4 linked regions of the Elephas maximus indicus genome follow. The protein of the gene in region 1 interacts with the protein of each later gene in a biochemical or structural test. Links are inferred from orthologs where the notes say so. Each region holds a gene or a part of one and is shown in the gene's direction. Other genes may lie near its edges. The genes, in order: UBE2E1, IPO11, TRIM32 and UBR7.

Evidence for each region.
Region 2: the proteins of UBE2E1 (region 1) and IPO11 form a complex in vitro, tested with the Homo sapiens proteins (2 studies listed by BioGRID). The link is inferred for Elephas maximus indicus from reciprocal best matches to the Homo sapiens genes UBE2E1 and IPO11.
Region 3: the proteins of UBE2E1 (region 1) and TRIM32 form a complex in vitro, tested with the Homo sapiens proteins (2 studies listed by BioGRID). The link is inferred for Elephas maximus indicus from reciprocal best matches to the Homo sapiens genes UBE2E1 and TRIM32.
Region 4: the proteins of UBE2E1 (region 1) and UBR7 form a complex in vitro, tested with the Homo sapiens proteins (2 studies listed by BioGRID). The link is inferred for Elephas maximus indicus from reciprocal best matches to the Homo sapiens genes UBE2E1 and UBR7.

The regions. Positions count from the first base shown.
Region 1 is NC_064845.1:15,869,591-15,877,458, reverse strand, and holds the start of UBE2E1 (ubiquitin-conjugating enzyme E2 E1), read left to right. Parts: upstream 1-4,863; 5' UTR 4,864-5,030; intron 5,031-6,156; 5' UTR 6,157-6,189; coding exon 6,190-6,341; intron 6,342-7,868. UniProt on the Homo sapiens protein: Accepts ubiquitin from the E1 complex and catalyzes its covalent attachment to other proteins. Catalyzes the covalent attachment of ISG15 to other proteins. Mediates the selective degradation of short-lived and abnormal proteins.
Region 2 is NC_064820.1:66,951,240-66,959,132, forward strand, and holds the start of IPO11 (importin-11), read left to right. Parts: upstream 1-4,887; 5' UTR 4,888-5,067; intron 5,068-7,893. UniProt on the Homo sapiens protein: Functions in nuclear protein import as nuclear transport receptor. Serves as receptor for nuclear localization signals (NLS) in cargo substrates.
Region 3 is NC_064827.1:66,202,661-66,210,588, forward strand, and holds the start of TRIM32 (E3 ubiquitin-protein ligase TRIM32), read left to right. Parts: upstream 1-4,920; 5' UTR 4,921-4,976; intron 4,977-5,303; exon of another isoform or gene 5,304-7,928. UniProt on the Homo sapiens protein: E3 ubiquitin ligase that plays a role in various biological processes including neural stem cell differentiation, innate immunity, inflammatory resonse and autophagy.
Region 4 is NC_064828.1:106,785,690-106,793,250, forward strand, and holds the start of UBR7 (putative E3 ubiquitin-protein ligase UBR7), read left to right. Parts: upstream 1-4,552; 5' UTR 4,553-4,609; coding exon 4,610-4,759; intron 4,760-7,166; coding exon 7,167-7,300; intron 7,301-7,561. Other genes in the region: EKC/KEOPS complex subunit GON7, read right to left, coding at 1,728-1,822, 4,148-4,355. UniProt on the Homo sapiens protein: E3 ubiquitin-protein ligase which is a component of the N-end rule pathway. Recognizes and binds to proteins bearing specific N-terminal residues that are destabilizing according to the N-end rule, leading to their ubiquitination and subsequent degradation.

The DNA.
Region 1 (7,868 bases):
AAAAAGGTGTTAAGTTCAGGAAAAGGTTTCAGAGACTAATGAACCGAACTGTTCAAACTGCAATACAATATATTCCAATATAATCTGTCCTTGTGTTATCAATGTACAGAAGGTTGAAAGAGGTTAGCTTGTTTAGAGAATAGGCCTCACAGAGGCAACCCTAAATTATAAATTGAGACAATTGCTTTAATATTAACCATTATCCATTTGTGGACATCAAACAAACCTTTTTGCCCTTGCTTGATTTTTTCTCTGAAAAAAAGCATTTGATTCTTAATCAAGTGATGGTAAATTTTGAAAATCACATGGTGTTCAATGCCTCCATGTGGTAGAAAAAATAATTTAGTTCTGTCCTAGCTTCCTGTAATAGTCATATTCAGGCCCAATAAAGTCAGACAATGTTTAGGGTCCTTCAAAGGTATATCAGTGTTTCTTTTTTTTTTTTTTTAATAAGTCCATGGAAAAATGACCTGTATTAAAGATAAAAGCCCCAGATCTAAGGCCTCATGGAACAGGCCCTTCTTTGCAGAACTTTCTTATTTTTCTGTATAAGGAATGAATATTTTCAGCCAAAGGAGTATAATAAAATGAAACAGATGTCCTGAAATCTGCAGTGAATCCATCCTTCCAGAAATTCTTTATAGAAATTCTTAATTTCAAATCAATTTTTTTTTTTTTGCAGAAAAAGGAAATCCTTTCTACCAGCTATAAAGTAAGATTAAATATATATATATATTAGCAAATGCTAATTTACTTGACAACTGTTTGGATATGAAATTGGCCAAACAGAATGGTCATCTTTATGAAATACTGTTTGTCATAAGCAACTGGCCAAAAATAAGAGTGCTGGAAAGTTAAACTGGGTCTCTTTTAAATCAACTGTAGCCGTGTCCTCCCAAGGGTGGGAATTCTTGTTCTTTCACCTTCTAGGGATCAGCCTATGACTGTAAGCACCTTGATCTTCAAGTACTTTACTTAAAAGCACTTGATACTCTAAAGATGACTTGAAGAAGAGAGCTGGATCATTCTGAGAACCAGGAATAGGTACTAGCAAACACTGGAGCCCCCTTTCTCAAAGCCCGTGGATGTTGCAGTGCTGCCCCACTTGGGCTTCTGTGATTGGACGCATCTTTTAAATGTCAGTTGAGCATTTCTGTTGATGAATTCAGTGTATGTACACGCGTTTGCTTGCACATGCGTAGATTATACGAGCAAGGATACGCAGAAAACTGCCCTGAAGAGGGAAATAAGAGGGATTGGAAGGAAGAGCTGAGGGCTCTTCCCTGACATATCCTTTGGTATCTTTTGAATCATAAAGCATGAGAATGGATTGCCTGTTCAAAATATGTTCATAAATGTAAAACAAATAACCAAGGAGGCTTACTCTCCGGATGGCAAGCAAGGAACTTCAATGGCAGTCATCCATTGGTTCAAGTGAATGTTAAAAATTCAGGTGATTCCCTCCCATTTTTTCCCCTTTCCCAACTATGTCTTGATAATATATTCTTGGAAATATTACCAAAGTTCTTTCATGTATAATATTTGCCTCCAGTGTAATGGATTTTCCAGGACTGACAAAATCATCTGTGGGCAGCAGGGGCCATAGCCACAGTTCTGCCACCGACTCACTGCATGACCTTGGCTTTCTTTGCCTTATTTTCTTCATTTGTAACATGAGGAGTTTGAACTAGAAGATTTCTCAGGTCCTGTCTAGTACTGGAGCCCTGGTGGTGCAGTGGTGAGGGACTCGGCTGCTAACCCAAAGACTGGCAGTTCAAATCCACTAGCCACTCCTTGGAAACCCTATGGGGCAGTTCTATTCTGTCCTATAGGGTTGCTATGAGTTGGAATAGATTTGACAGCACCGGGTTTGGTTTTTGATTTTATTGTAGTGGTAAAATCCTATGATTCCTTGACTATCTTTCACTTCAGAGGGTTTCTTAAGTTCTCACCATACACTCTTTAGGTGCCCTAACAGCATTCTGGAGAAGTAGGACCTAGGTGGGATTATTAATAATTTACTTTGTGTAACAGTTAATAAGCCACCTTCATTACAGACACACACTGATCCTTACAATAGCTTTGCCGGGCCACATAGTGCAGGTATCCCAGCCCTTTAGAGATGAGGAAACTGAGGCTCAGAGAGGTGACTTCAGGTCTTAGGCCTTGTAGTTAATATGTAGAAGAGCTAGAGGGTTGCAAACAAATTTTTTTTTTTTCTCTATGAGACAACAGTGTATTTAAAATAACATGACCTAAAGATTAGACTTTCAAGAACAGTGAATTCTTTTCTAAGCATTTTGAGGTTTTTATACCCGACTCAGTAGGTCATTCCAAAACCATAAAGCACTAACCGGGGGTTAGTGTGTGTTAGAGATAAGAGGGAATGGTACACAAGGGAGGGCTGGTATCCTTCCAGACCTGTGCTTGGGAAAGCACTCCCTATGTAGGAGGAGCCCTTAGATTACATGGTTTATTTCCCCGGGGACCAATCCAACCCAGGCATCAACAATGAAACAGAAAATACCATGCTCAGTTAAAAAAAAAAATTATCATAGTATCTGTTATAGATTGAATTGTGTCCCCCAAAAGTATGTTTTGTAAATCCTGACCTCTATGCCTGTGGTTATAATCCCATTTGGGAACGGGTCGTCTTTGTTATGTTAATGAGAGAGGATTAGTATAGGGTGTGTCTTAAATCAATCTCTTTTAATGTATAAAAGAGATTAAAAGAACAAGGGAAAGAAGCAAGGATGGGGGAAGAGAAATGCCAAGCCACAAGAAGATGGCCCAGGAGCAGGAGCTCAAAGAGACAGCTGAAAAAGAAAGAAAGCCTTCCCCTAGAGCCGGCTCCCTGAATTCGGCCTTCTAGCCCCCTAAACTGTGAGAAAATAAATTTCTGTTTGTTAAAGCCACACATTTGTGGTATTTCTGTTATAGCAGCACTCATAGATAACTAAGACAGTATTCAGGTATACGATTTATAGAAATCAAACTTAAAGAAAAAATATACCACCATCCCAGTCACTTCAGCAAATCAAATTTTTTATTTTCCTGTGATCCTACCAGGTCTTGTCTTTATATATACATATACATATAATTGGCTTTTTTTAATATATATAATTACATATACAATTTTTTTTACTAGTTGTAATCATAGTGCAGGATTGGATTTTAAAGCATCAGAAATCCAAATTTTCGTAAGATTATTTTCTTCACCCCCAACTAAGTTTATTTCATCTGTTTGCTTATTGTTTTCTGTTGAACTTTTTCGTCAGATGTACACAAAGTCTACAACCTGTTTTCTAGGAGATTTTTTGTTTTTAAGGACCATACAGCAGGGAATGTCATTATTTTTGTATGGTCTACCAGGACTCCTGAAACCAAACACTAAGAAAAGTTGTCCGGGGATCTTTTCAAAATCGATATGCATTTTGGTGGTTAAGGGATAGCTCTGACTGGGCAGGAGGCTGAAGTGATGACTACGAGGTTTCCTCCACCTTTTGGACTCCTTGATTCTATGGCAATACCTGGTAGATACAGGTTTCCTAGTAGGGACTGAACAAGAATCATACGCTATTATTGCTTTATGAGTCTTGATGAAGTTGGAGTTTCAGGATGAAGAGTAGAAGGGGTTAAGCTGGGCGGTGAGAATCCTTGTTTTCCTGGTTACTGGATATGTCATGGGCTTTATATCTTGTGTATATGGTGACTGAAACCACTGTTGCCACGGGAAATGATGGTAATTTGAATGAGATAATTTAGAGTGACCCATGGAACTCTGACTAGGCTGTCTCCTTAATGTAAAGATCCTGTGAGTGTGTCACTTGTATTTGGATGGTATATATCTCTTCATTTCCCTTCAACTGAAATGACAAATAGGTGAGAAACTGAAGAGTAATTTGGTGGCTTAATAATAGAAAGTCAATCTTATTTAAAATGCTAAACGAGGAACAATTTAGAAGAATTACTGATTATTCTAAAAATATTATTATTTGAATAGCATTTATGTTGTAGCTGAAGTAGGTACAGGGGTCCCCAGAACTTCCTAGCGAATTTCCAAAAATCAAACTTTATATCCAATGCTGACGCCCAAAAACGCTAAATCTAGTCTAATTCAGTATATGATTTATTCCCAGTGATTTCTCACATTCATAAACCTGTAACCCTCTGCTCTTACCTGTCATGAAATCATTTGTATCACTTTCAAAAACCCACATCACTTTCTATAAAATGTGACGTGAAGAATCTAAAATTTAGAATTGTACATGCCTCATGCCCTGGAGCAGAAAAGTCCCAGTTTGGGATTTTCTCAGAGGCGTGTCTAACTAAACTGACCTCTGCTCCTACCAGGTAAATTGCCAGAGAGAGAAGCAAGTGTCAGCCCAAAGGGAAATCCCTTTTGTGGGATTTCTTTTTTCCCCTTAAACTGATCACTTTTTAGGAGTTTCCATTGCACTCTCTAGTCCCAAGTCTTAGGCATGAGATTACCGTCTTATTCACCAATTTGCCAAACGCCTTTTCCAAAAGCCCTCTGTGGAAAGAACTTCTTCTCTAGTGACCCCCCGCACCTCTATTCCAGCTAGTACCAGCCGCTCCCAGCGCCCCCCGTCTCGGACCAGCTCCCCGTCTCCTACCCAGGATCCAGATCCCAAACCCCGTAAGAGAAAATTCACACCCCTCGCCCCTTCCCGGGCGTCCGAAGGAGGCGCCCGGTGGGGGTGCAGGTGTGGATGGGGAGGGGGACAGGGTTTCCCGGGGTCCCCCGTGTCCTCCCCGTCCCCCCGCTCCCGGAGGTGCAGGGGGAGGGAGCGCGGGTGGGTGGGACCGGGCGGGTGGGGGAGGGGTGAGGAGGAGGAGGAGTGTGTGTGCGAGCGTGTGTGGCTGGGGGAAGCCATTGCCTGTTTAATAGTTGCTGTTGCTGCACTTCCGCTTCTCTCCCAGCGAGAGAGAGACACGAGTGGCCAGGCCCAGCCGCAGCCGCAGCAGCAGCCGCCGCGGCGGCACGGAGGAGCCAGACACAAAGAGAGGTACGGGGATCCCCCCGTCGCCCGCCGCCCCCCGGCCGCGCCGCCGGGCCTCGGGGACACCCCTTGCCGCCTCCCCCAAGCCGCGCCGCCCGGGCCGCCGGGCACGGGGCTGAGGAGGGGCGAGGGGCCGGGGAGCCCCAGGGGTCCGGGGCCCGCCCGCGGGGGATGGGCAGGGACCCCGGGCCGCGTGGGGTGCGGGGGCCGCCGCGTCGGGGGCGAGGGGGGCATTGTGGCTTGAACTGTCAGCGCCGTCCCGGGAGCCCCCCACTGGCCACTGAGGGGGCCGGGAGCGGGGGGTGGGGGAGTTGGGGGAGCCTCGTTTTCCCCCCGGGCGGGGGCCCGCGGGGATTAACCCCTCCGGGGCGGACGAGCTCATTGTTATTCCTTCTCTGCGGAGGCCAACCCCCCCACACACCCGAACCCCCCACCTCCTAGAGGTGGCGATCGGGCGTGGGCTCAGGACCCCCGCCCTGGCCGCGGAGCCCGGAGCCGGGCGGCTGAGGGGCAGGCCGACAGGGAGGGGCGTCGGGCGCGGCGTGGGGGGCCTCGGGCCTCGTCGCCCCTGTCCCCGCCGGCCTCTCCCTTCCCCCACCCGGGCACCCGTTCCCCGCCTCCGTCCCCCGGTTTCGGCTTCCTCTCTTACTCCTCCCGCCCCTCCTCTCTTCCCGACCTCGCCAAACTCCGCTCCCGGCCCCGCAGCCTTGCCGGGGCCACAGGCCCCCGCGACCCCCAGGAAGCGCACAGAACAGTCCGAAGGCCACCCGGCCGCCCGGGTCTTTCCTCCTCGCCTCGTCGAGGCGCCCCGCGCCCCTGCCCTGCCCTCCTCCTCCGCCCCCTCGGCCTCCCCCCTCCGTGCCCAGAGGGGAGCCCCGGGGGGCGAGGGAGGGGCTGCCCTCGTAGCTCCGGACCGTTTCCCCCGGCGTCCTCTACTTGGGGCCCAAAATAAACAAACAAGCCGCGTCCGATTTGCCGAAGCCTTAATGGGCCTAGAGACTTTGAAAGCAATAAGAGGGAGGTGGGCGGCTGGGTGCACCCCTGCCCCGTGCCTTCCTGACAGCACCCGAGTTCCCTATTCACACTGCCTGCCTGGTTTACGTGTGTCTGTTTTGTTTCCCTCCTCCTCCAGGGGCTGTTTGCGGGGTGGGGTGGGGGGTTCGCTATGTCGGATGACGATTCGAGGGCCAGCACCAGCTCCTCCTCATCTTCTTCCTCCAACCAGCAAACCGAGAAAGAAACAAACACCCCCAAGAAGAAGGAGAGTAAAGTCAGCATGAGTAAAAACTCCAAGCTCCTCTCCACCAGCGCCAAGAGGTACCGTACGCTTTTCCACCGGCTTCCTATTTTTCTGAACGCCTCTGCTGCATTCGGTTTAGCTCCCAAAGAGGGTAGCTAAAGTGCCCCTCCTGGTTTGTGTGTCCTTACAAATGAAAAAGGGGCCTGGGAGGCCCTAATTATTCTCTCCGTTGCTTGTTCTGTTTTTCTTTTAATCATTGCCCACATGCAGCCGCTGTGGCTTGCCTCTCGCGTTTCTTGTTGAAGTTTGTAAGAATCCTCATTGCTTTTAATAGTGACCCCCAAACCCCATTTCAGGTTACTGGTTTTATTAATCGCTAATCTGTAACTCTCCTCACGGCTGCCGTCCCACTTCTTAATCACTAATACCTGCCCAGATAACTCCCTATCAAAATGTCTTACTTCCTTCTCACCTGTTGCACGCCTGATCTTTGTTGAATAGTAATTTATCCAAAAATTGCATAAAGAATAAATACATCAGTGGGGTAGAAATTTTAGAAGTTGAAGACAGGATTCCTGATGGAATTTAAAGGGATTTTTCTGGTTTGGAGAGTTGACGCAAATGAATGAAGCAATAAATGATTGTAAGCTGGTGTATTGTAGGTTATTTCTGGGATCCTTAATTTTTTTTCTCTTTAAGAACTTCACGTTACCAATTGTAGGAAAACGCAGTTTTTTCGTGCTGTCTTATGCTGTAAAAATGCTACTATTTTTTTCCAAGTTGAATTAAAGCAGTGGCTCTTTTTCCTTACTTTTTTCCTCTTACATCTCTGGAGAAAGCCACTTTTTACCTCTGTCATCCTTTAGTAATATCCTCGGATTCCTGTGACCCTTAAAATAATCTATAGCAGATTTCTGGGAACCCCCAGACACCTTTTCATAAATCCTTCTGCTCTCTGGTAAACAGTTATTAAACGTTAAAGTGGCATACTAGGAAAACAGTGGCACCCTGGTGGCGCAGTGGTTAAGAGCTCAGCTGCTAACCAAAAGATCGGCAGTTTGAATCCACCAGTCGCTCCTTGGAAACCCTATGGGGCAGCTCTACTCTGTCCTGTAGGGTTGCTATGAGTCAGAATTGACTTGCTGGCAACAGGTTTGGTTTTGGTTTTAGTTTAGGAAGATAGTAAGGAATCTGAATGGTGGGTTAGATAGGGATGTCTTTCTTAAAGGAATTTAAAATAAAATGGAACCTGAGACTTAGGTCTCTCCGTTGAGTAGTAAGCCAGAACTCAAGAGTTCAAGAGTTTGTTTTGTCATTTTCCCTGACTTGAAATTTGAAAAGTTGGTAAAGTGCTGATGAAGGGAATGACTTTTTATTTTAAATAGTGTAGAGATTTAAGTGCTAAGGTGTTTTTTGCAAGGTATTTCCCCTTTTCAGAGGGTTGGTTTGATTGCATCTCAGCTTCCCAGGAGTCCTCATTGATTAACCCAGTGCTAGCTAGTTCTTTAGTTCTTTCAGAACCCTGGTATCTAACCCTGCCCGCTTTGGATGAGGCCTTCCTTAAGCTCCCCAGGGCAGCCTCTGGACTCCCTGATCCTCATTCA
Region 2 (7,893 bases), on another chromosome or scaffold:
TCAAATGTTGTAATAAATACATTGAAGTTTAAAAAAGGGGCGTAATAGAGAATAAAAATAAAATTTTGTGAGCATCTTATATAAAATAGTTCCTTATAGATGTTTAATGTATTGAAAAGTCATAAAAACATTGAGAATGTTTAAATTTCACACTTTTAACACCAATTCATTAGCACTGAAATACCGTGTTCCTATGATTAAGGGGGTTTTATGATTAAGGGATATAATCCAGCTGGGCAAGATAAAATAAAATTGAAATCTAATATCAAGCCATTGGATTTGTTTAGAACAATTAAACATTATTGTTATTTAAATACTAAAATGATGTGCTGCTTTACAAAGCAGGACAATTTCAAAGAGTACCGGAAGACTTAATTTCTACTCTTCTGTCTAAATGTTAACAGAAAAATGTAATGAAATTTGGCTGGGAAAAATAATGCATTTTGAATATCATAAGCAACATTTTTCTATAAACATGTTCTAATTTTTTTTCAGGTCATCATAAATACTATCTTAAATTGGTGCAATTAATTAAGAAGAGTATAGCCTCTGTTTAATACCAGCATGAGTCTAAGCATTGTCAGTGAATATTAATGATAACTCAATATTCCAAAAGCACCTGTTAGATGCATGTTTTCATATCATTACCGTAAAATAATATATATGTTTCAAAATGTTTTTCAAACTTTACAAACCTAGCAAAACAAAAAATGTATTATGGTACTGAGAACTCTAAAATAGATTCTAGTTTTATATTGTGTTTTTCAGTTTTCAAAGCGCTTTCAAAAAAATTTGATTTTCAGTGAAACTCTGTGAAGTTGGTAGGGCAAGTAACCCAACCATGATTACCCTATTTTATAGTCAAGAAAATTGAGTCTCATTAAAAAGCCCACTGTCGTCAAGTCAAGTTTGACTCACAGCAATCCTATAGGACACAGTAGAGCTGCTCCATAGGGTTTCCAAGGCTGTACTCTTTCTCCTGCAGAGCAGTTGCCTACCTTTTTTTTTTTAGTCTTTCTCCTGCAGAGCAGTTGCCTACCTTTTTGTTAGCAGCCAAGCACTTAACCACGGCATTACCAGGACTCCTTACAATTTAGTCCCATAGAGATTATAAATACTTGCTCAAGTCCTACAAGTAGTAGAGGTGGGAGTGGGACACCATGCTCTTGCCACAACAGGATACCGTCTTGCCTGCTATGGGCTCTGTTGGTCTCCAATTCCAGTCACATCAGTCAAACACCTTCCTCACTGGTAGATGGGCAAGGAAACAAAACATACCAGTTGAGACATCCTAAATACAGTTTTAATGAATTTTACCTTTTAACATCAATATAATGTAAAATTCAGTAGATTCTAAAATATAGTTAAAAAATTAAATCTTTGATTATCATGAATTTAAGAATCAGATATATCCAAAGTAAAAATTAATCACAGAGATGTAGTACATAAAGCTAATATGTTTCCTGGACTCCAAAGATAAGACTACCACATTGAAAACAAAATAACATCATCAACAACAACAAATGAAGAAGCTTAACTTAAAAAAAAAAACTAGAAAATACAGAAAGTAGAAAGAAGGTGAAAAAATTACCTATAACCTCACTACCCACTGATAGCTTTGATGGGTGTTTTGGCATTTTTTTTTTAATTTTCTTTTAGTATTTTAGCAACACATGTTTTTACATAGTTGAGATCATACTGTATATAAAACTCACTTAAATAATTTCTTTTCTAAGGAACCGCACAAAGCACAAAGTTAAAGAAATCCCAAATTTCCAACTCTTCCAAATTTCTGTACTACTCCATCATCTCTAATATCAACTACTCTCCCTCCTGTCTTTGGGTTCTATAATTCACTACAGGATCTCATAGAATTCATGAACCATATCAAGGAAGTGGCTCATGCAGTTGGAATAATGGACCCTTTAGGAATCTAGGAAGTGGAGTAGTAATTAAGAGCTATGGCTACTAACCTAAAGGTCAGTAGTTGGAATCCACCAGGCACTCCTTGGATACTCTACGGGGCAGTTCTACTCTGTCCTATAAGGCCACTATGAGTCAGAATTGACTCAACCACTATGGGTTTTTGGTTTGGGGATCTAAGGAAAAAGTCTACGACGTAGAAAAATGCACATGCAAAAATTTTCCATACACTTGGAAGTTCCATCTACAGCTACTATGAGTCCAAAATCTAGTCATATACTACATACAAAACAATATGCATAGCTTGATAAATAATTTCATGCTACTGCATTTCATTGCCATATTCCCAGATTCTTTGGAGGAAAGGGCAAAAAATGCATACAAATTAAAGTCTTTTGGGGTTCTGAACTGGTATTGTGTCTGTTCAGGATATTTTTTTTTCTTTTTTTATTGTGTGTTCAGGATATTTCTGAAATATAAATTCCGTGTTTCCCCCAACGTATGGTTAATAATTGAAACAGGAAAGGAGAAAGTTGAAGCAATTGCTAAATTAATTGAAACATTGGCATCCCTCACCCCTCAGGCTCAAGTAGATTCCAAGAAAATAAGTACAATGACAATGCAACTCATTTCACTTCAAAATAATTATATTATTATAACTAACTTTTATTAAATATTTAGTATGTGCCACTATTCTAAGTGTGTTTTTTTTCATGTACCAAGTATTGAACTGTAAACATTTTATATGATTTATTTTATTAATCCTCATCACCACCTGTCGTGGATTGAATTGTGTATCCCAAAAATATGTGTCAACCTGGCTAGGCCATGATTCCCGGTATTGTGTAGCTATCCACCATTTTGTGATTTGATATGATTTTCCTATGTGTTGTAAATCCTACCCCTGTGATGTTAATGGGGGCCCTGGTGGCACAGTGGTTAAGAGCTAAGGCTGCTAACCAAAAGGTCAGCAATTCAGATCCACCAGCTGTTCCTTGGAAACCCGATGGGGCAGTTCTTCTCCGTCCTATTGGGTCACTATGGAATCAAAGGCATCGGGTTTGGTTTGTTTGGTTTTATGATGTTAATAGTGCAGGATTAGAGGCAGTTATGTTAATGAGGCAGGACTCTTTTGAGATATAAAAAAAGAGAAGCAAGCAGAGAGACAGGGGAACCTCACACCACCAAGAAACAGGAGCCAGGAGAATCGGGTGTCCTCTGGATCCAGGGTTCCTTGCACTGAGAAGCTCCTCCACCGAGAAGACTGGAAGATTGATGACAAGGACCTTCCCTCAGAGCTGACAGAGAGAGAAAGCCTTCCCCTGGAGCTGGCACCCTGAATTTCGACTTGTAGCCTTCTAGACTGTGAGACTTAACCACTACTCCACTTCCTAGATTCCTAAAGCATCTATTATTCCAATAGGTTAAGATTTACTTTTCTAAACCAATTTCTTCCTTTTAATTTGAATTAGGTAATTTATTATTTTTTTACTTACTACACATTCTTTATACCTTGTTACTCCAAGTGTGATCCATGGAGCAGCAGCACTGGCATCACCTAAAAACATGTTAGACATGAAGACTCTCAGGCCCTATCTCAGACCAACTGAATCAGGGTCTGTATTTTAACAAGATCCCCAAGTGATTCTATGCACACTTAAAGTTTGAGATGTGCTACCTTTCAGTAAAATCAGAAGATACAGTCAAGCAAAAAGAAAATAAAACATGCCTACAATACCATCCAATTAGTGATAGACACTTAACACAATGGCATATAAAACTCTTTCAAACCCTCCTATACATATTTATTTCCAAAAATGGAACCTTACTGAACATACGGTTTTGTAAACCACTTTTTTCACTCAATGATGCATTGTGAATGTTAACATGTGAACAAATACATTTAAACATTTTTAAAAGTTAAGTGGTCATTTTTAATGACCAATTTATATTTAATTATATGTGGATTATTTAATCTCTTTCTTGGTGGTAATTTAGGGAATATTTATCTTTTTACTTAAAAAAAAAAAAAGCCCTTGTGTGATGAACGTTCTTGTAATACAGGGCTTATTATTATAGCCTTGTTCGAATCCTAACACTGTCACTTACTAGCTGTGTGACTTCAGGCAGGTTACTTCTCTGCGCTTCAGTTTCCTCATCTGTAAAATGGGCATAATAGGGGCATATACCTCATAGGGTTGATTTGAAGATTAAAATAGATGATTCACGTAAAGATCTTAGAATTGTACCTGGCACACTTTAAGTTCTCAATAAATGTCACCAAATATTATTGATCTTTATGAACACTCCTAATTTTTCTTTTTAATGACAAGATGATAAGAAAACTTAGGTCATCCAGCTAGTAACATAGGCAGAGGCAGGCAGGACTGGATTTCCTTTTAAAATTATTCCGCCCTTACTATCCCTATGGAGTAGAGCCCCCAGCAAGTTCTGGAACTTATATTGTAATAATTTTTCTTTGCTGCTAAAAAAAAAAAATTTTAATGCGACAGAGTCAAACTGCCCCATAGAGTTTTCTTGGCTGGGGCCGCTTGGGGGATTTAGAACCTTTAAGACTTATGGTTAAGCAGTCGAGCATTTAATCGTTGCACCACCAGAGCTCCCTACGTGTAGAATATCAAGCCCATTCCCGTCATGTCGATTCGGACTCATAGCGACCCTATGAGTGGAATAGGAAAGGGGACATAGTCCTGGTTTAAGCTTCAGCCAACCAAGACGATACTCGATTTTCCTGGGAATGGGGCAACAGAAAGTACGGTTTCTATGGTTACGGATCTGGCCGCTTCCAGGGTCCCACCTACAAGTACTGAGCAAGCGCATACCCTGATTTCCACAACGGACGCCTCTGCCTTAGATGAGGAAGCCCCTCCCTCCTCTTCCTGCCCCTAGCCTATCGCCTTCTTTCTTTGCCCTTCCATGCGCTTTGGTGCCTGTGACGCAGTTTTCGCGCGTCCGCGTCGTTTGGAGCTGCGACGCTGAACATGGCGTGTTCCTAGAAGCGGCTTTCGACATCAGTAGGCGGCGGCGTGTGGACTAGAAGCGCGGGGCGTGGGACCAACCGACGCCGCTTCGTGTTCGGGAGTAGGAGCAGGAGAGCCGGGCCATTCCGGACCGAATCAAACGGTGAGGCCCCGGCCTGACAGTCCCCGAGCGCACGCGAGCGGAAGGGAGGAGTGGGTTGGGCAGCGGAGACCCGAGGAACGTGGGGCTATCGGGGACAAGGGATAGCAGTGGCGAGGCGAGGGCGGCCTGCAGGCGTGGCTTTCTGCATAACCGTAGGAACCTCTGGGAGCTGGGCGCGCACCGAGTGAGCCCGGGGTGGAGAAGCATGGCCGCGGAGGAATAGGGCGCTGGGAGGCAAGGACCGTGTGCCAAGATGAGGAGAGCGGAGGATACCCATTGGGGCTCCGGTTGCGGGCCAGGATGATGCATTTGCTCTTGCGGGATAGGTAGTGCAGATTTTGAGAGAACGTGATGGTCTGTAGTGTAAAACCAGTGGGTTTTTTTTTTTTTTTTGGCTTATATGACACTGTAATGGCAATTCTGTGAAAGCTTTAAGCGTTATACCCTTCCCTTGTTATTAATGGAAAAGTAAAGAAAGGTACATATGAGAGGAGCTTCATGCTGAGGTATGGTCGCCAACGCTCAAGCCCAGCGACTCCTTGCAGTTTTATATTTGGGGGTATTTCATGCAGTAAATACGTTTTGAGGTCTTTTGCATTTGTTATTTTTCTCCATTTTATGACATGGTGGGTGAGGGATTTACCTTTCTTATCTCAAAGTGATTTGACTAAATTGCTAGAATTGGTAAATTGCCTGCTGGTGCTAAGGTGGCACATGACATACTTCCCCCATTCCCGTTTTAAAGGAACTCATTTCTAGTGTGGTCAACAACAACAAAACTAAACCCATTGCTCTTAAGTCAATTCCAACTCCTAGTGACCCTGTGAGTGGAATAGAACTGTCCCATATGTTTCCCAAGCCTGTAAATCTTTACAGAAACAAGACTGCTGGATCTTTCTCCCACAGAGCGACTGGTGAGTTCAGACTGCTGCCAGAAAGTCAGCGCTTAACTGCTGTGCCATCAGGCCTCCTCTCCAGTATGACCAAAAAACAAAACAAAAAACCAAAAAAAAACCATTGCCATCAAGTCAATTTCAGCTCATTGTGACCCTTTAAGACAGAGTAGAACTGCCTCATAGGGTTTCCAGGGCTGCAGTCTTTGTGGAGAATACCTGGTGGCATACTGGTCAAGAGCTTGGCTGCTAATCAGAAAGTTGACCGTTCAGATCCATGAGCTACTCCTGGGAAATCCCTTAGGGCAGTTGTACTCTGTTCTGTAGGGTCCCTATGAGTCAGAATTGACTCCATGGCAATGGGTTAATCTTTACAGAAGCAGATCACCATATCTTTCTTCTGCAGAGTGGCTGGTGGATTCCAACAGCTGACCTTTTGGTTAGCTTCTGAGCACTGTAATCACAAGGGCTCCTTTCTAGGGCAGTAGTGCCCTTGAAATTTGGTTATTTTTCGGGAGGGAGTAAGCAAGAGCACTTTACTGCAATAATATATATATATTTTTTTTCTTGGGTAAGGCAGCTCCTCTATTTTCACGTTATTTCAAACTTCTCTGTTTAGTGCAGAGGCTTCAGGTTAAGGAGAGTGACTCTGCTTTCTGAGACATCCATTGCATCAGATCTTTTCTGACATCTTTCTTCACTGAGGAAGATTTATGTGAAATTAGAATGAGAATTTCCTTTCCTTTTTGCTATAGGATTGTAATTCTTCCCCTGGAACCTAGCACAGGGAATACTGCAAACGGTTTAATTATAGCTGTGGTTTGTGGCCATGCACTAATTGCCCTAGGACAGGGACCTGTCTTTGCCCTACTTTCCGTGCCTAAAGCAGAAGAAATTTTTTACCGTAAACATTTTGAGTGGAAGTTCTGTTATAACAAATACGTAAAGATTATTTTGTAATTAATATAAAAATATTTAGATTTTATGACAGTATATATGTATTTGCATTCAGGACCAAACTAGAATGTAGAATAATCCTGGTGGACATGTGGCAGTTCAAATATACTGAAGATTTTTCCAGAAATATGCATATTTCAGAGATAAAAATATTTCTGTTTTGGGAAAGCTGATTTGTTTAAGGGAAACCCTGGTGAGCTACGGCTTGCAAATCAAAAGGTCATCAGCGTGAATCCCCCAGGCGCTCCTTGGAAACCCTTTGGGACAGTTCTGCCCTGTCTTACAGGGTTGCTGTGTAATGGAATCGACTCGACTGGCAGTGGATTTGGTTTGGTTTGGTAATTTAGGATTTTAACCTTTGTATGTATGTGCATATGTGTTCCCAAGTGTGTGTTCTCATTCCTCTGAATTTAGTGTTACTAATGGTGATAATGATTTTTCCCCCTTTATTTGTACCAAATGGGCATTATAGTTAATTTCAGCACGGTAAGACACATTTAGTGCACGTGCGAGCCTGGTGGGTCTTTGACTTTCTAAATATCAGGCTAATTACAGATAAGCACACAATTATAAACTTTGTGTGGCTAGTAACTGCTCCTATTTTCCATGATGGCTATTAACCTACTGTCTTCCCTCCTTACTCTCCATGATAATATTATCTTCTTCACAGAGAAAATGCATTGGGTGGGAATTTCATTGCTTTCTCTCCTCTTTCACCTGCGAACATGTCTTCCTCTACGTGTCTGTCTCTTAATTGTGCTTCAGGTTTTTTCTCCTCAGTGACGAATTTTCCTCAGTTACCTCTTTTTCAGTTTCAACTGGCACTAGGCAGAATTTAAACATATGTAAGCCTCTCATAAGGAGCCCTGGTGGTGCAATGGTTAAGCACTCAGATGGTAGCCGAAGGGTTGGTGATTCGAACCCACCAACTGCTCCATGGGCGAAAGACGTGGCAGTTGGCTTCTGTAAAGATGGC
Region 3 (7,928 bases), on another chromosome or scaffold:
AGAAAGTAGAACCAATTAGACAGTTAGATAGATAATAAGAAAGGCAGAGAAGCACTGAAAGAGGGGAAAAGGTACAGAGGGAGAGAAGAAGGGAGGGAAAGATGGAGGAAAGACAAAAGAGGAAAGGAAAGAAGGATGGAAAAAAGGAAGAAATGAAGAAAGTAAGGTGGGAGAGATGGAGGAAGAAAGAGAGGAAGGGACAAAAGGAAAAAGATAGGGAGGGAGGGAGGAAAAAGTAAGGGAGGAAGGAAAGGAAAAAGAGAACAGGGGAGCTAGGCAGACAGGTAAGTAGGCAGCCAGCCACTAAGATGGTCCCCAGTGATTCCCTCTTTCTGGTATTTACTAGCCTGTATAATCCTCTCCCCTTGAGCAACTTGCTTCTAGCCAATAGAATAGAGATTGAGGACATGTCACTTCTGTGGTTAGATTATAAAAAATCATGACTTCTGTCTTGCTAAGAGGTTCTCTTGTGCTGTCTTTGATGAAGCAAGCTGTCACATAGAGGCCCATGGGGCAAGAAACTGAGGGTAGCCTCTAGCCAACAGGCAGCAAGGAAGCGAGGCTCTCAGTTCAACAACCCTGAATTCAGCCAACAACCACGTAAGTGAGCTTGGACGTGGATCCTTCCCCAGTTGAGCTTTCAGATGAGACTCCAGCCCTGGCCAACAACTTGATTGCAGCCTTATGAGAGGCCATGATGCCGAGGACCCAGCTAAGCTGCACTTGAAGTCCTGACTTACAGAAACTGTAATATAATAAATGTGTGTTGTTTTAAGCTACAAACTTGTAATTTGTTATGGAGTAATAGATAAGTAATACAGAGAGACAGATATAATTTTATATTACTTCATGGGAGTGCTAGTAATTATAAACCTCTAGACTCAGACAAACTCTGTTAGGATGTACTAGTGTTTTAACTCCTTATATTTTCTTCCCTACGTTATATAATCAAGAAATGTCTCTTCCCCTTCAAACTTCAGTTGCTAAATGGTAAAAAAAAAAAAAAGGGGGGGGGGAGAATATTTTGTTGAGAAAAGTCATAGTGATAATGATAATGACAGTAAAAAATGATAACTGTAACTAACACTCAGCACTTATTCTTTATCAGGCAGCGTTCTAAGTCCTTTGGATCTATTAAACCATCTAACATTCCCAACATTCCTACCTGGTTGTTGTTGTTGGCTGTCAGCCATTAAGTTGGCCCCCAACTCGTGGTGACCTTGTGCATAATAAAATTAAACACCGCTCAGTCCTGTGCAATCCCTATGTTCAGTTGTGGATCGGACTGTTGTGATCCATTCAATTCTCAATGGCTGATTTTTGGAAGTAGATCTCCCCAGGCCCTTCTTCCTAGTCCATCTTAGTCTGGAAGCTCTGACAAAATCTGTTCAGCATCATAGCAACACCCAAGCCTCCACTGGCTAACTGGTGATGGCTCTGCACGAGGTGCATTGGCCAGGAATTGAACCTAGGTCTCCCGCATGGAAGGTGAGAATTCTACCACGGAACCACTTTTATACTACTACTATTATTTTATACTACTACAACTACTATTATACCTCTTTTGCAGAGGAGAAAAGTTAAGTAAATAGAGACTGAATAACTTGTCCAAGGTTACACGTTTGTTAGTTACAAAAAGTTACCAAGCATTACTTCAAATCACCTTCTCCTCTATTCCCTAACAAACTTCGCAGGTGAGTGTAGCTGAAATTCTAACCTAGATCTGTCTGACTCCAAACCCCTTGCTCTTCTCACTACAGAATGATGTATTTAATAAGTAAATGTATTTATCATAATAATAAATGCAATATAACGAACACTTCTACATGTTAAGCAAAGAGCTAAGCTTTTTACATCCAATATCTCATTTCGCTCCTGATAATCATCTGAGTTAGTTATTGTTATCCCCGTTTTGAAGAGAATAAAAAAGGCATTAAGCTAAGAACCTCCTTTGTAAGTGAAGAAAACAATACTTAACTCATAGAATGGTTTAAATGTTGAGTCAGAGTATGTTACGTTAAAGTGCTGAATAAAGAATATTTAAAGTGCTCCACAAAGAATATTTTTTAAATGTATCCATGTCTAAGGAATGCTAATATTGTGCCAGGTTGTGCAAACCCACAGGACAAAAAATGAGTGATATCCCCGGAGTGTTTATTTTACTGTGAGATCATGTGGTAATTAATTGAACTTGTAAGTAATTTAAACATTAAAAAAAAACACCATCAAGCAAACACTGTTTTTTTGTTTGTTTTTTAAGGGAAAAGAGAGGTGTTTTGTTTTTGTTTTAAATGGCATGCCTGAGCTACATCCCCAGACTGTTAGGAGTACTGTGAGCTCTCTTCTGTGATTGGGGAAACATCAGTATATATATATGAACAGTTTTTAACTGAAACTCTGGGCTGATAACTGTGGTTTTCAGCAACCAGGCTGCTAAATCTCCCTTCCACCACCACCTACTTGAGAAGGGGATATAACTCAGGTCTCAGGGCAGGAAAAAATGATTTGACAGCAACCCTCCCATATCCCCCACCTGCAATACAGGGGTTGGGAGAAATACTGCAGGCCCCATTCAGAGGGGCTCCCTGCCCATTCTATGGAGCAGGCCACACTGAGTCTCCAACATGGCAGAAACCTAGAAGCCCAGCCCACTGCCATCGAGTAGATTCCAACTCATAATCCCTGCTCTTTTCCGACGCTTCTGCTCAGAACAGCTCATCCCAGAGCCCTTGCCTTGGCAGGCTCACAGTCTGTGGTCAAAATGACAGCAAAGATTTGCCCTTTATTCTGTTTTTCCAAGTACTATGAATTCTTTCGCTCTTACACCAAATCTTACTTAATAAAATAGGAAGATAGCTGGTGTCATAATATGTGGGCATAGTCTTTCAGTGACTGTATGGGGCATATCATGAGCCTGATGAGCCTGGGTTTATAGCCCGGCTCTACCACTTCCTAGGTAATGACTACAAGAAAACTAGTGAATCTTTCAGAGCCTTGGTTGCCTCTTCTGTAAGCTGGTGCTACTGATAGCTACTGGAAAAGTTGTTGAGAAAACTAATTGCGACTTGTGACAATATATGTGAAATGCCTGGCATATTGCCTGTGCTCGAAAAACAGCAGCTCTTACCTGACTGACCCCCCCCCCCCCGCCCCAGGTCACACAGGACATGTGATTTGCCTAAGGTCACATTTCAGAATCTGACTCACTTAGTAACTCTTAGGTGCTGGGCTCTGTGCTAGCTGGTGCGACTACGAACAGGCATTGCCCTTCAGGGAGTTCACAGGTCTGGAGAAGATCACCTGTAAGTAGATAACTTAAGGCCAACCTTGTATATGCTGCATGAGAAGTCATCAACTTGAAACTCCTGCAGCTTGCTGAACATGCAATGAACACCTCAGAACTCCCAGGAGCCCAGGAAGGTGGGAGAAGCAAGCACCCTGGTCCCCTGGCCCTCTGAGGTTTTTGTCTGCACCCACCAGCTGCCAATTCTGAGCAAAACCTACCCTGGGCCCTGTAGTACCAGACTGGGCTCCCTCCTCAGTCCAGTCCTGAACTCAACCTATACTTGGCCTATCTGCTAAAACCCCAGATGGCAAGTTCATCACTGGGGCCTGAGCCTCAGAGCTCTATTGCAACCCGTGAGTCCAGAAACACCAGGCCTGTTCAGCACATGCCATGAAGTACACCAAGCCAGGCTCCTGTTGGCCTCAATATTCCAGAAGCTGAGGCTTTTCAAACCAGCAGTTCGGAGGATGTGAGAGCTGATCTTAATTTTTAAAAAAGCAGCTACCGTTAATTAAGTACAAACCATTATACTTCTATAATCTCAGTTAATCCGTATAGCAAACCTCATCTCCATTTAGAGATTAAAAACAAAAAAAGTTAAAAAGCGAAGTTTCTCAGAACTGAGTAAAATCTGGGCTCTGATACTAATAAGCATGTGGCCTTCTTATTCAACCATCTAGGCATCAGCTGCCTTTTCTCACTGGGTCATGGTAAAGAGTAAGTGAGTTATGTCTATGAAGTGCTCACCATACCTGCAGTCAGACATTAAATGCTCAAAGGATGTTCTACAATCCTTGCTGGTTGTTTTATCATTGTTCAGCATCACATAGCTCAATGGGATTTTAAACCCAAGCTCATCCTACTTCAAAACTATATAGTATTATCCATAACTTTATAGTATGGTCATCTGCAGGGGCAGGTAGCTGGACTCAAACAATCTAACTGGCTGCAGATCTTGGTCAAGCAATAGGTCAGACTGCCTCCCACCTGTGAGGGGTCTACCCTTCAGTCTGCAGGGTCAGGAGCTGTAGTGTGTGTCTCCGCATCTACCTCTGCTATCAGCCTCCCTTCTGAGTAGGTGAAAAACTCCTTCACAATAGAAAACTGTTTACAGATAAGCTTGTCTCTAATAAGCAGTGTGTCATAGAAATAGGGAAACCAGGCACTGCCCTTCTAAGAAATCCAGGTTCTGTGCCTGCCCCAGAATGAAAGTTTTATTCTTGCCTTGACCCTTTTCTCAGACTGGGACGCTGAGGTTCAGAGAGGCTTTTCTCTGAGTTGCCCAGGCTCAAAGGAGAACTACTCCTGGTGATCGCCTTTTAATGAAAGGGTTAAGATATTGGGATTTGGAGTCAGTCACGCGCCTGCAGGTTTGGCTCCTGACTCGTCGAGTGGATATGGGCAGGACCCATATGCCCTTGGGCCTCAGTTTCTTAATTTACACAATGGAGACAGAAAACTGGATTAAGCATGGTTTACAGCCCCACTTCTTGCTCTCACCTGGCCCTAGAGCCCCGAGCTAGGGCTAGCCCGACTACAAGCCCCGGCATGCCTCGGGAGGGCGGAGCCCAGTGAAGGACAGGCGGTTTTGCCAATCGGCGCCGGTCAAGGAGCGCGCGGCGGCGCGTGCGCAGAGGGCGGGGGCGGGTGGGCTGGCGGCGGTGGACGCGTCGGAGCTGCGGGAGGTCAGGTAGGGGGCGGGCAGGAGGGTCGGGGACAAGAGACCCTGGCCCGAGTCGCGGACAACGGCTGAGCGGCGGGGAGGGGGGCTGTGCTGGCGTGTAGAGGCTGGGCCCGCGCCCGACTAGCAGGGTCTGGGGATCGGATCTGAGGAGTAGCTCTGGGGTGGGGGTGGGGGTGGGGCAGTGAGGGGCAGGCTCCGGAGGGATTCGATGTGGCTGAAGATCTCAGGGGAGATGCAGCGCTTGGGGCGGAGGCGAGGGTGGGGTGGGGTGCGAAGACTTGCTGTGCAACATCTCAGGAGGTATGAGGTAATACGGGGGCCCGGAGGAGACGGGGTGCAGCATCTGGTAGGTTCGGGGAATCTAAGGGCCTTGGAAGGGTTTGGGGGTGCAGGATTTCGGAAATAAGAGGGAATCGGGGTCCCTGATGAGATTTAGGGTGCAACATCTCAGGAGATTCGAGGAAATCTCGGGACGCCAGGCATTTGTTTGGGCAGGGCAAGATCTGAGATCAAAAGGAGCAGGGTCTGAGGCGATCCTAATTGCTAAAGAGGGAGGGTTTTCCTGAGTAGGATCTGGGAAAAATTGAAGTGGGGAGTTCTTGGGGGAATCAGAGGGAAGCAACATCTTGTTAGAAAAAAGAAGAGACCTGGCTAAGATTTGAAAGCAACACATGACATGGGATGGGTGAAAGGAGAAGGAGCAAGGTTTGAGGATGGCACAGTGCCTGGTAGAATACAGAGAATGGAGGATAAGATCAAGAGAGAGCAGAAATCTGAGGTGTGGGATCAGGGTGTTTGGAAGGAGTTGGGGTACAGGGCTGAAGGCTTCAGAGATTTGGAAACGGATTAAGGGGTCTTTATCAAAGGAATTTGGGATGCATGGGTGAAGAATTGGCGAAGGTTGCAATGTAGAGCCCAAAAGGTTAGACTCTTGTATTGTGAGATGGTTTGGAACACAATTTGGAGAGGATTGAACAGGTTGCAGAATTAAAGGACTCTGAATAGGTCTGTGGGTTGGCGACTTGGGCTGCTAAAAGAATTTTCTTGAAATCTCTACATGGGAAGCAAAAGGAGTTTGGGGACCCAAGAACCTAGAAGTAATATGGAAGTGTATATATGAGTATGAGTTCAGGGGTTCAGGAATGAAGTTATAGATCATCAGAGATCAGGACTCCTGAAGAAGCATGACTTCCCCTCAGAGGGGCAGAATCTCCTTCACTTTTCCAGCAAATATCCCTTGTCATGAGGCTGGCATGGTACACCACTAACTCCACTCTGACCCTGGGCCAGCTGAAAGTGGTAGACTTTGGGGAGAAGATATTGGTGAAAGGGAGGATAAAGCAGAAAACTGTTCAAGGCCATCCTTCTAGGTCCTGTCTTCCCTACCCCTACCTCTGCACCATGGAGGTGCTAGCAGATAGTGTGTGAGATGTCCAGGGAAATGAGTGAAACATTATCTCAGGCCTTATTTTCCTCATCAGCTAAATAAAGTGGATTGAATTAGATCATATTATTAAAAAAGAAATTGTTGCTGTCGAGTCGATTTCAACTCATAGTGACCCCGTATATAAAAAATAATAATAATAATTAGGACCCATTTAAAAACCAAAGAGTCAGTGGCTTTGTGAATGAGGTGTTTGTTTTGGCTGGGAGAAGGGCAAGAAAAAGGGAGCTCAGGGTTCAGCATTTAATCCTTTGCAAGTCTCTAGAGCAGTGGTTCTTAACTATGGGTGATTTTGTCCAGCAGGGGACAGTTGGCAATGTCTGGAGATGTTTTTTGGCTGTCAGAATAGGGGTTTGGGGTACCGCTGGCACCCAGGGGGAAGAGGCCAGGGATGCTGCTAAACTTCTTACAATGCCCAGGAAAGCCCCCAGAACAAAGGATTATCCAGCTGAAAATGTCAATAGTGCCAAAGTTAAGAAACCCTACTGTAGAGTCATATCTGAGGTTCTAATGCTGGCTCTGTTTCTTCTGATTTAGTAATCTTGAGTGAGTTATTTAATCTCTTTGCCTTGGCTCTTCATTTGTAAAATGGGGTTCTTAACAGGACCTACATCATAGAATTATTGTGTGAATTCAGTGAAGTGAGTCAGGGTGCCCCGTGTGTGGCATATAGCAAATATACAATAAATTTGGCAATTTTTAGTTTTTATATCCACTTTTCCAGTTTTCACAACAGTCTTATTAAGTGTCTCTATTATATCCAGTTTTACACATGAGGGAACTAAAGCTTAGAAAAGGGAAGCTACTTGCCCAAAGTTTCATAGCTAGCAGTGAAGTCAGAGCTAGGCTCATATCCAGATCTCTGTAGCTGTATATTCTCTCTTTTCCTTGCTTCTTTTTTTTGTGGGGGCCTGTTTAGTCTTATTATCTCAGCCCATTCCCCTTCAAAGTAAAGGAGGATTGTCCAGTTGGTATCAGTGAATATCAAACAGAACCCTAGAAGGGGTATTCTATATGATTAGGTAGGGAGTAACCGTGGACTTTGTTCTTGGTTTGCTATTAGACCAGGACCAATGGGTGGATAAGGGGAGGAGCTTAGGTTAGCAAGCAGGATGAGGTGCATGGGACCAGAGGGTGAGGTATGGAGGCCCTTGGCTTAAAAAAAAATACAACCGCATAGCAGGGAAGGCAGGAAGCTGAAGGCCATCAAACCAAAGGAGAGTAATTACTGTTCTGAATGATCTCTTTTGGGCTTCTTTCCCCTGGGACAGAATAGCCACACTGGCTCTCTCAGCTCAAAGACTAAGCTACTTAAAGCATTGCTGAAGCCAGCACAGAAACAGCTGGATTGGATCTGAGGGCAAGAGACTCAGCTGGAATACCTCACCCTCCCCAAGGGAAATATTTAATGAGCATTGAATCGGCCTGGGAATCAGAGGCCTGAAGTCCAGTGTCCTTACTCTCCTGCTAATTTACTGTGTGACCTTGGACAAGGACTTGTCCTATCTGCCTCA
Region 4 (7,561 bases), on another chromosome or scaffold:
CACACTGGTTCTTCCAACTGATCCTTTTTGTCACAGAGGTGGCCCGCTTCCGCACTGGTTCTTCAAACCGATCCTTTTTGTCACAGAGGTGGCCCGCTTCCACACTGGTTCTTCAAACTGATCCTTTTTGTCACAGAGGCTGCCCGCTTCTGAAGACGGTATTACAATCTGAATCAGTATGAAAATTAAGGAAAAGATCAATCAAACCTATAACCCAGAATCTCAAAACACTGGGCCACAAGCACCAATATTATCTTGACATTTCTCCTTTATACATTTACTGATCAAAGGAAGCATAAAATACTCAGGGAGCAAAGTTCTGCTAGCAATTTAAAAATACGATCTATTTTAATTCTATAGGGTTAAGTTTTTTTAAGAATCATATACCGATACAAGATTATTATAATCAGTAACTGAGCTGAAGTCCTGATACTAGACAAAGCAAGGGAATTTGATTTCTCTTTTTATCAGCTTAAAAACATGGCGAAAGGCTATGTATGTAACTCAGCTCTGCCAACGGTTAGCTGTGTAACTCAGGGCAAATACTTATTCTGAGATTCAGTTTATTTCTGAAGTAAACCATAATTTTTAAGGTTATTTCCAATTGAAAAATTCTATGGCTTTGCATTTCATTAGGGTACACGCTACTTGATATCTTTGCATTCATTCGCACTTTAGCAATCTAAATAAATCAGGAAAGATGTACGGTAAATCAAAATGCCTTAGTCCTACTAACAAGTAGAAAAGGAACACACTATTTTAGGAATATCTATTTTTAAAAGAAATCAATAGTCCTGTTACGCAAGTATGGCTACAAGAGGAAAGGAAATGGCTCTAGTCAACAGATTAACTTAAGGCCTCCCATCTGGCCCTTAAGGCACAAGTTAAACCAGGTGATTAATACATATTTATTGAGTGGTAAGATGTCTACATTTTGGGTGTGAGTGTGGATTTAAGGTTTCCTTGGAAGCCTGGTGGTGTAGCGGTTAAGTGCTACAGCTGCTAACCGAAAGGTCGGCAGTTCAAATCCACCAGGCGCTCCTTGGAAACTCTATGGGGCAGTTCTACTCTGTCCTACAGAATCGACTTGACGTAATGGGTTTGGTTGGTTGGTCTGGGGCTCTCTCAGGAGTCCTAATTGTGCAGTGGTTAAGAGCTACAGCTGCTAACCAAAATGTCGGCAGTTCGAATCCACCAGCTACTCCTTGGAAATCCTACTGGGTAGTTCTACTTTATCCCATAGCGTCACTATGAGTCAGAATCGACTCAACGGCAACGGTTTTGTTTTGTTTTGTTTTTTGGTTTGGTTCTCTCTCAAAGGCTCTTTCTCTTCTGTATTTCTCTCTATGCCCTAATTTTCCTTCTCCGTGTAAAGAGCCACCACACTTACATTTATAATACCCAACTTTTGCCACTTGCTCATGTTAGTTCTTGAAATGTTATGTACTTTTTATAACAGAAGCAGAAGTTAAAAGATATAGACATCACACATTTAATTCAACGGTGCTATTTTATTTCCACAGTCTAAATTTTCTTTCTCACTCAAGATTTATTTCTAAGCATTTATTATATCTTTGCTGTAAACAGAAGCTTTTTCTTTGACAAAACTCCCCCAGGAGAACAAAACAGATGCTTTTCCAAATTAGGGCACAAGTCTTCCTGAAATGTCAGGGTGTGATAATTAGGACAGTAGCAGTCTTTCAGTTTAAATTTCATAAAAGCTATTGTTAAGACGGTGGTTTTGGCCGTTTTGCAGATGGTCCATCTGAGTTAGTTCTGTTATCAATGTTATTTTCATCTTCTGCATCATCTTCACCATCACCTTTTAAAATAAATATTTGTTGTATGATAAAATGTTCAATGGTTCAAAAGAAATATAGATCTTTAAAATGGTTGATAGAAACCATTTCAGTTTTGGAATTAATAAAACCATGCATATCTCAGATTCAAAATACGTATGATTAAAAATTTTTAGAAATTTATAACCTAAAACTTTTCTATCACTTTTTTTTTGGAGATATAATTCACATACTATAACACTCTTTTAAAGTGTCTTTATTTTTTTTTTTAGTACACTCACAAGGTCGCACAACCATCACCACTATCTAATTCTAGCACATTTTCATCACCCCAAAAAGAAAGCCCCTATTCATCATCAGTCTCTCGTCATTATTCCCACCCCAGCCCTTGGCAACCACTGATCTATTTTCTGTCTCTATGGATTTGCCTGTTCTGGACTTTTAATATAAAAGGAATTATACAATACACGACCTTCTGCGTCTGACTTCTTTCATTCAGCGTAATGGTTTCGAGGTTCACCCATGTCGTAGCATGTATCAGTACTTCATTTCTTTTTATTGCTGAGTGCTGTTCCATTGGATGGATACACATTTGTCTACCCATTCATTAGTTGATAGACATTTGGGGTGTTTCCAATTTCTGGCTATAATAAATAATATTGCTTTGAAAATTTGTGTACAAGTTTTTGTGTGAATTCATGTTTTCATTTCTCTTGGATACAGACTAGGAGTGGGATTATTGGGTCATACGGAAATTTTATGTTTAACTTTTTGAGGAAAAACCAAACTGCTTTCCAAAGCAGGTACACCATTTAACATTCTCACCAGCAAGGTATGAAGGTTCCACTTTCTCCACGTCCTCACTGATACTTGTTATTGTCATCTTTTTCACTATAGCCATCCTAGTAGGTATGAAGTGGTAGCTCAACTTCTTAAAATGACAGTATATATATAGGTAACAAAACACTTGTCATTTCAACAATCTTCACGTGCACAGTTCAGTGACATTAAATACAAACACGTTCATCACGTTTTTCACCCATCACCATTAATCACTGTGGTTTTGATTTGCATTTTCCTGACGGCTAATGACGTTAAGCAGCTTTTCATGCGCTTATTGGCCATTTGTATATCTTAGAGAACTGTCTATTCAAATGTTTTGCCCATTTCAAAAATGGGTTATTTGTCTTTCAAGGGTTGCATTCTGTCACTTTTTTTAGCAGCTGTTATAATTTTTATTTTTGCATACTTTTTGAGATATAATTCACATAAAGTCCATCATTTTAAGCTCTATCGTTTTTTGCAAAAGCAAAAAACTTGATCATTAAATATATAAAAACATGTCCTCCTATTACTGACTTATTATCAGCAGGACAAATGGTAGTTATTTTCCAATAAGTAATGATAGATTTTTAAAAAATAGCTCTAGCTATTATACTCTTGTTCTTACGTTATAACATTTTTAACAGATTAGAGAGCCAAGAAACAGGACTTAACTCTCAATATATGTGGCAACCACCAATTAACGTACTCATGGAAACAATCTATTATCTTGAACTCAGTGTAATGTCCTGAATTGATCTCTCCACATTATCCAGAACTATCAAGGGGAAAACAAGAGGGACAGTACTGTTTAAGCTCATCTATGGAAGAAATCCCGACTCCAATATTTAGTTCTTAGGTTTTTCAGCTCAGGCAGTCAAAATCCACCCGTTTTTGTATTCCAGACAAGATTGTTAAAAGTTAATGCAGTTAAATTTCACGTTTTTACTTCCAAACAACCACCTACAAAGCCAGGATATAAAAAAGGAGTTCCTCAGTTAAGACTTGTTAAACTGAAGTCTGTTTCAATCTTCGGAATCTGCGATACCTTGCAGTCTTCCAAACACGTGAGCCATCTCGCACCTGGTAACACTCCTTTCATCCTCAACACTGAGATCAGAAGTAGGGATGCCCTCTCTGAAGCCTTCTCTCGGTTTGCAATAGTTACAGAAGGCACAGGATTTATACTTTCACTCCTTAATACAGTGTTTACCTGTCTAGTCCCTCATCTGCCTGTGAGTTCCACAAGGGGACTCCATTCACCTCATTCTTTCTCTAGCTCAGCCCAGTGCCTGACAGAGTAGGCGCGTTCAGCACGTTCTGGGGGATAAAGTTGTGAAAACACTTCAATATAAACAGCCTAGATACACATGGCCGTGAGTGCCGACAATTTTTAGAGGGAGTACTCCTTCCATCGAGGGCTCCCCTTCCCCAAGTCCGCCACTCCACAAGGCTCCCCTGAGAGTCTCCCCGAGCGTCCCGCCCCGCCCCGCCCCCCAGCCGCTCAGCCTCGCCTCAGAACTCACCGTCCAAGGCCTCGTCTCCAGCCGCAGCCAACGGGTCCTGCGCTTCCCGCTGTACCAGGGGACCAAGGAGCTCGGCCACCCTTTCCCTCATCTGAACCACCCCCGACAACAGGCCCTGCAAAGGGTTGCCGTCGTCCGGCGCCTCACAAGACACCCGCAGCCGCAGCCGTTGCCCGTCCTGCCCTATGTACTCCCCTAGCAGCTCCATAGCGACTGCCGAGCTTCAAGCGCGCGCCACAAGAACACGTCACCCGGAAGCGGAAATCAGGCCCCTGCGGGCGCGGGCGGGAGCAGGGAGAGGAGTGACTTCCGTTTGTCCCGAGTCGCTCCTCCCCCGTCGGACACTTCCCTTTTTGGGGATTGGTTCCCGGGACTCAGGCCCCGCCTCCTCCGGCTACGCCTCTCGCGGCCGCTTTTCCCGCCTCCGCCGGGGCAGAGCTGCGAGCCGGGTGACAGTTGAGGATGGCCGGAGCAGAGGGCTCCGCTGGGCGGCATTCGGAGCTGGAGCCTGTGGTATCGTTGGTCGACGTCCTTGAGGAGGACGAGGAACTGGAGAATGAGGCGTGCGCTGTGCTGGGCGGCAGCGACTCCGAGAAGTGCTCCTATTCGCAGGTGGGCGCGCGGCCCGGGCCTCAAGTCCCCTCCGGCTCCCGCTGAGCCACCCCTCCCGGCCAGACTCCCAGTTCCAGGCGCCTCGGTCGTCTCCCCTGGGCTGGTCCAGGGCCGATGTTCGCCTCTGGGGTTCCCGCTCCAGGCCCGGATGCGCCTTTATCCTCCCAGGGCCCCTTTGTCGTTCTGTGCCCAGCCTTTCTCCTCCCGCAGTCTTCCTCCATCCAGCGCTCGGGATTCTCCAGGCTTGACCCTGGAGCGGCTGCTCAGTCCATCTCCAGTGTCTTCTTGGTAGCCCAGCCACTTCTTAGGAAACCATCCCCGTGACTTCTCAAATCCAGACATCTTTGTTTCTACTTCTCCCATTCTAAGGGCATTTATTAAGAACAGAACCATTAGGTTTTTTTTTTTTTTAAACTTTTATTTATTTTGTTGTTGAGAATACACGCTGCGAAGCAGACACCGATTCAACAGTTTCTACGTGTACAATTCGATGACATTGATTGCATTCTTCAACTTGTGCAGCCAGTCTCACCCTCCTCTTCTGAGTTGCTCCCCATTAACATAAACTCACTGCCTCCTAAGTTTCCTATCTGATTTTTCAAGTTACCGTTGTCAGTTTGATCCCATATAGGTAGTTCTTAAAAGAGCATAATGCTCAAGGCAGACCTTTTTTACTAGTTAAGCTAAACTATTGCTTGGTTTTAAGAAGACTTCAGGAGATATTTTTGATGTAAGGCTTAAAGATGATATCAGGGCAATAGTTTCAGGGGTTCATCCAGCCTCCATAGCTCCAGAAAGTCTGGAGTTCATGACATTTTGAAATTCTGTTCTGCATTTTCTTCCTTTTGATCAGGATACTTCTATAGGATCTTTGATCAAAACCACTAGATATTTATCAGGAGAGTCAAAGCAGGGTTAAAAGAGCTCTGGATTTGAAAGCTGCCCTGTGTGGCGTGGGCTGCTGAACAGCTAGTTCCTCTCTGCCGTTTAGTTTGGCAGATGCTTGTACTTTTGTGGTGAAATGAAGCAAGTGCCATGGCTGCCTGTAGTCTGCCGGCCTTGGAAATAGACTGGAGCCAGAACAGCAGGTGACACTGGCAAGCGGGGCAGGGAGAGGAGAAAAGGAAAGAATATGTTGGAAGAGGAAATTTGACATTTGGAAGACGTTGTGAACAAGGGTTCGAGAGGGTCCGATGTAGTGTTCAGCGACTCATCCTATATTTCTAGGTATCAAAGTGGAGAAAGGTGGACAGGAGGAAACAAGGAGTGTGAATTTATAGGAGGAAGGTTACCTAGACAGGAGGGTCGAGTGGAACATTGGGGGATGAGGAGAGAGACTTGCTGTCATCATGTGGTGTGCACTGAGATCATAATGCCAGTTGTCATCAATGACCAAGTTGAATTTGCACTGTAAAGTGGTTAGATTGTTGAGTAAACCTGGCATCCAGCTGTTGGCTGGTACTTTAAAACCTCTGATCACCACTGAAACAACATTTACTGTCCTTTTAAAAAATGGTGATAGGTCCTAAGTCTGTTTGTACACTATTTTTGAAATGTAGTTAGCTTTATGAAAGTTAGCTTTAATTAAAATTCTTTCTTTATTGTAGCATAATGGCAAATTATGCTAAAAAAAATCCAGCAGTGGTTTTGTGTTTTTTTTTTAATGGCTAATTGCACAAAACATGAGTATGGCTCTGAAAAAGAGTGACCACGTCCATATACCTACCACCCAGATCAAGAAATAGAACATTACTGGCATCCCAGAAGCCTCCCTGTGTCTCTCCCTCCTCCCTACAGGAGGGTAACCATTATCACGCTTTCTAAAAGCATAAGTTTTACCTTTTTTCCCCTTCAAATTTGTATTTTGAAATTTTTTAAACCTGCAAATAGAAGATTATGAACACCTGTATACCTCTCACATACATTCCTTGTTTTATCTCTAACACTTTCCTTTTTTTTTTTCTTTTTGACTGAACCATTTGAAAAGAAGTTGCAGATATCATGACACTGCACCTCTAAATACTTCAGCATGCATCTCCTAAGAATGCATTGATTTCTTTTGTAGAATTATAAGCCTTTTCCAAAATTAAGGTGTGATATAACTGGGTACTCGCATTCTCCTGTGTTTTCATGTGCTAAAATGATTAACCAGAACAACTTGTTCACAGTTGACTGAAATTTTAAGACTTCTTATCACTTTAAGAAGAAACTGTATGTAAATAAGCATAGTGTAGTACATGTATAGTGGTATGAAACATGCAACACTTCTCGGTGGTTTTTACAGGAAGATATTGACCACAGGTAATCTGATTTTAATTATTTCTCAGATGTTAGTATACGTATTAGGTAACTATGCCATATTTTATTAATTCATCCTCTCTCTCTCCATTTTGGGGCTGTCTTTTAGGGCTCAGTAAAGAGACAAGCACTATATGCCTGTAGTACGTGCACCCCAGAGGGAGAAGAACCAGCTGGGATTTGCCTAGCTTGCAGTTACGAATGCCATGGAAGTCATAAACTTTTTGAGCTATATACGAAAAGGTAAAGCCAGTCAGAGATTGTTACTGAATGCTCCTTTCCCAGCTGCACTTTTTTTTCTTAATTTTGTTTTTCCCTTAAAAGTAGTTGTGCACTAGTGACATTTAATATAATTATTTTATATAATGTAATTAGAGAAGGTAATTTTTCTAGAGGGCCTTTTAAGATATAACTGTGGTACAAGCTGAAGCTACTCATTCTTCTCTGCCATTGTTTTACATCTATTTACATGTATGTAGATATAGTTACGTGTACGTAGATATA